Linked DNA regions of Saccharomyces cerevisiae S288C. Changing the gene in region 1 together with any one later gene gives a genetic interaction. Each region holds a gene or a part of one and is shown on either strand. Other genes may lie near its edges. The genes, in order: HMS1 and ATR1.

Evidence for each region.
Region 2: of HMS1 (region 1) and ATR1, changing one suppresses a phenotype caused by changing the other (phenotypic suppression), as found in Saccharomyces cerevisiae (one study listed by BioGRID).

Annotation. Positions count from the first base shown.
Region 1 is NC_001147.6:388,945-392,950, reverse strand, and holds HMS1 (Hms1p), read left to right. Parts: upstream 1-1,875; coding exon 1,876-3,180; downstream 3,181-4,006. Other genes in the region: Rad2 family nuclease EXO1, read left to right, coding at 1-535; YOR032W-A (uncharacterized protein), read right to left, coding at 575-775. UniProt on the Saccharomyces cerevisiae protein: Involved in exit from mitosis and pseudohyphal differentiation.
Region 2 is NC_001145.3:36,166-40,567, forward strand, and holds ATR1 (borate transporter), read left to right. Parts: upstream 1-2,030; coding exon 2,031-3,659; downstream 3,660-4,402. Other genes in the region: NAB6 (Nab6p), read left to right, coding at 1-1,482; VAN1 (Van1p), read right to left, coding at 4,022-4,402. UniProt on the Saccharomyces cerevisiae protein: Putative component of the machinery responsible for pumping aminotriazole (and possibly other toxic compounds) out of the cell. Probable ATP-dependent export permease. Appears to confer resistance only to aminotriazole.

The DNA.
Region 1 (4,006 bases):
AGGAAAGACTATCGGTAACGAAATCTATAATACAGATGATGACGGTGATGGCGATACTAGCGAGGATTATAGCGAAACTGCGGAATCAAGAGTTCCCACGAGCAGCACCACCTCATTTCCCGGGTCATCCCAGAGGAGTATATCGGGGTGCACAAAAGTTTTACAAAAGTTTAGATATTCATCTTCATTCAGCGGAGTTAATGCAAATAGACAACCACTATTTCCTCGGCACGTTAATCAAAAAAGTAGAGGAATGGTATACGTCAATCAAAATAGAGATGATGATTGCGACGATAACGATGGTAAAAATCAAATCACGCAAAGGCCATCACTGCGAAAAAGCCTTATTGGTGCCAGGTCACAGAGAATTGTGATTGACATGAAAAGCGTAGATGAACGAAAATCATTCAATTCATCACCAATTTTGCATGAGGAAAGTAAGAAAAGGGACATCGAAACTACTAAGTCAAGCCAAGCTCGGCCGGCAGTCAGATCTATCTCCTTGCTTTCCCAATTTGTTTATAAAGGTAAATAAAAGTTAAGTACTGCACGTTTCATATCGGAGGTATATTTTTCAAATGAAAATCTCGTCGAAATGCCTCAAGACAAGAATTAAAAAATCAATGCCCAGTAAAGTAGGACAGGGTACGGTTGGAGTAAGAAGCCTTCTACTTTGGGAAAAAGCCATTGTACTAGACCAAGAAAAGATTAAAAGTAGATGTGTCAAATTAAGCCACAAGTATGTTTGCCCCGCTATGAACAATGCACGCCGCATGTGAGGACAACTTTATATGTTTTGCGAGCGCGCTGGGCATGTGCAATTCACATTTTTTTTTTCCTTTTTTTTAACCCACTCTATTTATCTAATCAAGCCGCTAGCGGTCTACATTCGCTATCAACTGAACGAATAGTGATGCAATCTGAACCTTAAACTTTTCGCTCGCTTTTACTTTCCAGAAAAAATTTTCTTCATTGGGATTCCTCTGCTGACAAACGGGCTCACAGAACTGAGGAAACGAGAATTTTGTTAATCAAAGCAACATTACGGGAAGGAACGGAACCGTCTCGTTGCTGTGGGCGCGAGTTCGACGCAAGAAAAAAATGCTGCAGCATCGTCTTTTGTGAACGCCAAGAAGGAGTCCGGCGAAGGTATTGGGCGTCACAACCTTTTATTCTCCGCAGTGTCTCTTGCCTACAAAGCCTGCAGAAGCTTTTATGCCGGGGTGTACGTATGTTAATCAGTTACCCTTTCCTACTGTGTGCCGCACCCCTCATTTGCTCTCGATACGAGAAGTTCCGCGCCGATTCTGGCCTTTTTGTTTTCTGGCTAGCCTACTTTCAGGGGACGTGCCTTCTTATGCCGCTGTAAATTACAGCAGAGATTTAGATCTGAGTGAAAACGTGGCGAGGAAAAAGGGTACACCGTTAAAAGCGTAGACACAATCCCACTTTGTTGTGCCTAGTCTTCTCTGCTGTATTTTAATTTTCTGTTTGAACTTTTTTCCGTTCTTTTCCATCATTGTTTAATTTTTACTTTGAGTGGGCTTCTCAAAAGAAAAAAATAGCTGGTATTGTATTTTTACCGTAGGCGTTTTCTTTGTATTTTTCCCAAGAGCAGCAGCACCTTTTATATACCTTGGTTACACATTGTAAGCCTCAAAAATCGTCCTATGTAAGTGTCTTATCGCATCATACTTAAGGTCAAACCTGTAAAGCGCGCTTCTAGTTTTATTTCTACTACTCGCCTTGGCTCTCGAGATCGCTTAGGTAGTTTAATAGTTAGTCACACCCACCCACCCATTCGCTTAGAATATAGAATATAGAGCAGTTGCAGTACACGACTCATTTTAGCAACGATAAGAGTATAAATTGGAAATGCCAAATTTTCAAAAACCTTTTTCTGGTTCTTCGGATGGCAATTCTGTAATGAACGACCTAGGTAATAAAGTCGCCATCAAGGTTTTTGATTGTAGAAGTGCTCAAGATGGCAGCGAAGAGCAGAATGTAAATGTAACCACGAACCAAATGTATTTAATGTTTCAAAGTAACAATTACAACGTGCCGCCACCAAATTACAATACCGAGGATTTGGGTTCTCAAGGACCTCCGACGCATGCTTATTACGCTCCATTTCAGCATCCCATCCATCTTCAACCTCCCGTGCCTCCTGTATATAAGAACAACACATATTCTGCCACAGACCAGTATAGTGACTCCTCGTTTCCTAATACTTCAGGCCACACTCCAGTAATTGATAGTAATTACTATAATGATGCTCTGGCTTCTATACCTACAACAACGACGGGTAGTACTACAATGACTACAGACAATGGCAATACTATTGACAGCGAAGAATACATTGATAACATGGAAGTCTTTAGTAGCGAGGAAAATGAAAACATTGATAATGTAAAGCAAACCGATCTTAAATCTGAAAAGGACTCGAGTCTTCTTTCAGCAGCTTCAATCGTGAAAAAGGAACAATTGTCTGGCTTTGAAAATTTTTTGCCTTTATCGAAGACAGAGTCTCCCTTAGTTACTGCAGACGAGATTAAATCATCTTTGAATTTGGAGAATATTGACAATGCTGACAGTATGAGCTTCAAGTTAAAAACTTCACCTATACGGAAACATTTTCATGTTAAACCCAAAAGAATAACAAGGGTGAGGACAGGAAGGGTATCACACAATATAATTGAAAAGAAATACCGTTCCAATATTAATGATAAAATTGAACAATTAAGGAGAACTGTCCCAACGCTACGAGTAGCGTATAAAAAATGTAACGATCTTCCCATTACATCTAGAGACCTAGCAGACTTAGATGGCCTAGAGCCAGCAACAAAATTGAATAAGGCGTCCATTTTAACGAAATCTATTGAATATATTTGTCATTTAGAAAGAAAGTGCCTACAGCTAAGCTTGGCTAATCAACATTTATCAAATGACACACGGGATTCTTTCGTCCATCTTACCGAGCCATCTCAACCGTTGAGTGACAACAGTAGTAGTGAACAAGTACAAAAGCAAACCAGAAGCTGCCAACGCCAACGGCAGCGGCAGCCACGACAACAACAACCATTGCATAACATTCAATATAATATTCCACATCAAAACGGCCTCATGAGCGGCACCAACAATTCACATGATATGGATTTTAACAACGCAGGAGACTTTTAATACTTGAACAACAAAATGTTTCAACACGACAGATAAAACGAAGAAGAAATACTATATACAAATCTGTACTTGTGTGTATGCGTAACATTGTAATTTTAATTTTGCATTGAGAAATCTATTTTATTCATCTCTTTTAGTGTTAGTAAACACTCGCAGATGCCTTGAGCTCCGCACCGTAATTTAGTTTAATTTATTTCTCTTAGTGCCGTCTAAATAATAACGATCTAAAAAAAAGATTCCGGGAAAAAGAAACTATACCTTATATTTAGTTCATGCAGTTAAATAAATGTTGTTAATTAAGGGTAAAATATGATGATGTATTTATGATAAGTAAAGAGTAGGGGTCACCTAACATTTTTCACAATTGCATTTACTCTTTTCACAAGTGCACGTGGTTTCGCATTTGCATTTTTCACCACAACTCTTACATTGAGGGCTTCCGGTGCTGTGATCACATTTGCACTTTTCACCGCCAGAACAGCTTGGAAGGCAGGTGCTCCCACAATGACAAGAGTCCTTACAACATTCGCCTTAACAGTCACATATTTTTACAGTCATATTTATTGAGTACTATTTGACATTGTAGTGTTCAGTGTAATATCGCTTCGCTATTCTTAGGGGGGACGATGTGCGCCCTTCTTATATAGGCCCCGCTTGATCACTACTTCACAGCCCTCTCGCATCCCTATCCTTTTTTTGTCCGAAAGACAAAAATCACTTCCACACAGCAATAAAGACGCATTTATTGTTCTTTTTCTTAAAAGTGCTTGCAGTAGGGGGTTTAGCAAAAGAAAAAAATATATGACCGGTTGTTATGCGATCTGAC
Region 2 (4,402 bases), on another chromosome or scaffold:
GTGGCATCATCCATGGGTTCAGACATAGGCAATAGAACAATTTATATAGGAAACATTAATCCAAGATCAAAGGCGGAGGATATCTGTAATGTCGTGCGTGGAGGAATCCTTCAGAGCATTAAGTACATACCGGAGAAGAAGATATGCTTTGTTACTTTCATCGAAGCTCCATCCGCTGTACAGTTCTATGCAAATTCATTTATTGATCCAATAGTGTTACATGGGAATATGTTGAGAGTTGGATGGGGGCATTATTCTGGTCCATTACCGAAATTAATCTCGTTGGCTGTTACGATCGGGGCAAGTAGGAATGTCTACGTAAGCCTACCAGAGTTTGCATTTAAGGAAAAGTTTATTCACGACCCTCAGTACAAAAAATTGCATGAAACACTATCTTTACCAGATGCGGAACAACTAAGAGAGGACTTTAGTACCTATGGTGATATTGAGCAGATTAACTATTTGAGTGATAGCCATTGCTGTTGGATAAATTTCATGAATATATCTTCTGCGATTAGTCTTGTTGAAGAAATGAATAAGGAATCCACAGTACAAAATGAATCCGGTGAAGTGACGCTTAAAAGGGCGACTGAGGAAAAATTCGGTGGCCGTTATAAGGGCCTTCTGATAAACTACGGCAAAGATCGTTGTGGCAATATAAACAAAAATTTGATAGCAGGTAAAAATTCAAGATTCTATAAGAAAGTTAAAAGACCGAGCTATAATATACGTTTGAGTAAGTTGGAAGAAAAGAGGAGGCAGAATGAAATCGATGAAAAGGAAAAGGCTTTTGATAAACCCTTGAACTTGGAATCCCTAGGAATTAGTCTGGACGCACATAAGGACAACGGCGGTGGTGAAACAGGAACTGCAAATAATACTGGGCATGAAAATGAAAGTGAACTAGAGGCTGAAAATGAAAACGGTAATGAGACTGGAAGTTTCGGTGGACTGGGTCTCGCTGTGGCGAGCTCTGACGTCAAACGTGCGACATCGGATGAAACTGATTATGAAGATATATTTAACAAGTCATCGGGATCTTCCGACTCGTCATCAGACGTCGAGGTCATTATGCACTCCCCGAGCGATCCTGAATACGCTTTAAAATCACAAACTCTAAGAAGCTCGAGTCAGACCGTCATTAATAGTAAGAGACCAGTAAAGATAGAAGACGAGGAAGAAGCCGTAGGAATGTCACAGCTCAATTATAGGTCGTCATTAAGACAAGCTCCTCCAAGAGCTCCCTCAACTTTGTCATATAATCACTCGAAGAACAACGAAACGCCAATGCAAGATATTTTCACAAATGGCGAAACAGCAAATAACAGAAAGAAGAAGAGAGGATCTTTTGCAAGGCATAGAACGATACCAGGATCTGACGTCATGGCCCAATACCTTGCACAAGTGCAACATTCGACATTTATGTATGCAGCCAATATTTTGGGCGCCTCTGCGGAAGACAACACGCATCCTGACGAGTAGTATAGCTGTGCTGAGCCTGAAGTATAATGCATATCCATCGGACTATTTAGACAAAGCCCAAGGAAGCCTAAGGCGGCCTGCCAAGGTGTTTCTCCCTTTTTTTCTCCGATTTCTTTGTATAAACTAAATAATATAGTGATTACTAATGGAATGGCGGTATTATGCACCTAACCTGTTCATTCTGCCACAGATTACGTAAGCGATTTATTGCCGGCACTTGTTGTCTTAATGACCGAGTCACCAATGTGGAACGATAATTTTCTCTGACTCAAACCTGTTAATTTTTTTCTACTTCGTTTCGTTAGCGACGACGTCAAGCCGCAGGATCCTGTCTGCCTTGACCTCTTCTCTACCTTCAGAACTTACACTTTTCAGGTAAGATGACCTTTATATAAAAGTTGACACTATTACAGTTGTTTATAAACGTCTGAAGAATGAGACGTTTTTATAAAATGAATAAAATGCATATTCTAAGTTTAAAACAACATTTTCAAAGTGTACGATTGTAAAAAGAGAGGCAATTAGAGAATCTCAAACAGGTAATAATAATGGGCAATCAGTCATTAGTTGTGCTTACGGAAAGTAAGGGTGAGTATGAGAATGAGACAGAACTACCTGTTAAAAAATCGTCACGAGATAATAATATCGGAGAATCTTTAACAGCAACAGCTTTTACGCAGTCTGAAGATGAAATGGTAGATAGCAATCAGAAATGGCAGAACCCAAACTATTTTAAATATGCATGGCAAGAATATCTTTTTATATTCACATGCATGATAAGTCAGCTTCTAAATCAAGCAGGCACTACACAGACTCTTTCGATCATGAATATTCTTTCGGACAGTTTTGGCTCAGAAGGAAACTCAAAGTCATGGCTGATGGCATCTTTTCCGCTAGTTTCAGGCTCATTTATTTTGATTAGTGGCAGACTAGGTGACATATACGGATTAAAAAAAATGTTGTTAGTAGGATATGTTCTGGTTATTATATGGTCTTTGATTTGTGGGATTACCAAGTATTCTGGTAGCGATACTTTTTTTATTATTAGTAGAGCCTTCCAAGGGCTAGGGATTGCATTTGTTTTACCTAATGTGCTGGGAATAATTGGTAATATATATGTAGGTGGTACTTTTCGTAAAAACATCGTGATTAGTTTTGTTGGTGCGATGGCCCCTATTGGAGCAACTTTAGGTTGTCTTTTTGCAGGACTGATCGGTACCGAGGACCCAAAACAATGGCCATGGGCATTCTACGCGTATAGCATAGCCGCTTTCATTAATTTTGTGCTCTCCATATATGCCATTCCGAGTACTATACCAACAAATATTCATCATTTTTCTATGGATTGGATTGGTTCTGTTTTGGGCGTGATAGGTCTCATTTTATTAAATTTTGTGTGGAACCAAGCTCCTATATCGGGTTGGAACCAGGCTTACATCATCGTAATTTTAATCATTTCTGTGATTTTTCTTGTCGTTTTCATCATTTATGAGATTCGATTTGCCAAGACTCCACTATTGCCGCGCGCAGTTATAAAGGATCGTCATATGATTCAAATTATGCTGGCTTTATTCTTTGGATGGGGCTCTTTTGGCATCTTTACGTTTTATTATTTCCAATTTCAATTAAATATAAGGCAGTACACGGCATTATGGGCTGGTGGAACTTACTTTATGTTTTTAATTTGGGGTATTATTGCCGCCTTACTGGTAGGATTTACTATCAAGAATGTGTCTCCATCAGTGTTTTTGTTCTTTTCTATGGTAGCATTCAATGTGGGCTCAATAATGGCAAGTGTTACACCGGTTCACGAGACATACTTTCGTACTCAGTTAGGAACGATGATAATTTTAAGTTTTGGGATGGATCTTTCATTTCCTGCTTCTTCCATTATCTTTAGTGATAATTTACCGATGGAGTACCAAGGCATGGCTGGGTCATTGGTGAATACTGTTGTCAATTACTCCATGTCCTTGTGTCTCGGTATGGGTGCCACAGTAGAGACACAGGTCAATTCAGACGGAAAGCATCTTTTGAAAGGCTATAGAGGTGCTCAGTACCTTGGGATAGGATTGGCAAGTTTAGCATGCATGATTAGCGGGCTTTACATGGTCGAAAGCTTCATAAAAGGCCGCAGGGCAAGAGCTGCTGCAGAATACGATTGCACTGTGGCTTAGCGGAAAGCGGTTATTAAGGTAAATAGATAGAAATACACCGCTGTCATGCGATTATATAGACATGGGGCATTTAGACACTGAAAGTCTTCATATCTCAACATGCAACTAGTAATAGTACAATTTTTAGTACCCTTTAATCTTTATTGTTCGCTCCCTAATAACGAAGCCTTGAACTGTAACCAGATCCCAGGTTACCCCTTATCCTTAAGAGGTCTTTTATTTACTCTACATAATATATATTTTTCAATCCATTGAAGAGGATTAAAAGAAGAAAAATCAATACCGAACAAAAAAACAAAACGAAATAAAACAAAACAAAAAATTAAATTAAATTAAATTAATATTAAATGTCATCATGATTCTTACTCTGATTGTCTTCTCTTCTCTCTTTCCCTTGACGCAATTTCCTTCAAATCGTCATCGCTCGGTTCATAAATATGCCAAATAGTATAATGCGGTAAACCACCAACCCTGTACCCCATTTTCTTTGCCATTTTACCAAATGCTTCTGTTTCTGCATGATTTTCAAAAGTAAATGCAGGAAACTGTACCCCGTTTCTAAATATTTTGGCCTTCGCCAAAATAGAAACTCCCCCTACACCGTCCAAGTCCACCGCTTCATTTGGATCACCTTCTGCATCTCTGATATAGGCTAAGTGAACTCTCCACGTAGGATATTCTGCATAGCCTTCTACAATAACATCATCTTCGTCAAGAGTCTTTGCCAATGCTAGTGCCTCCTG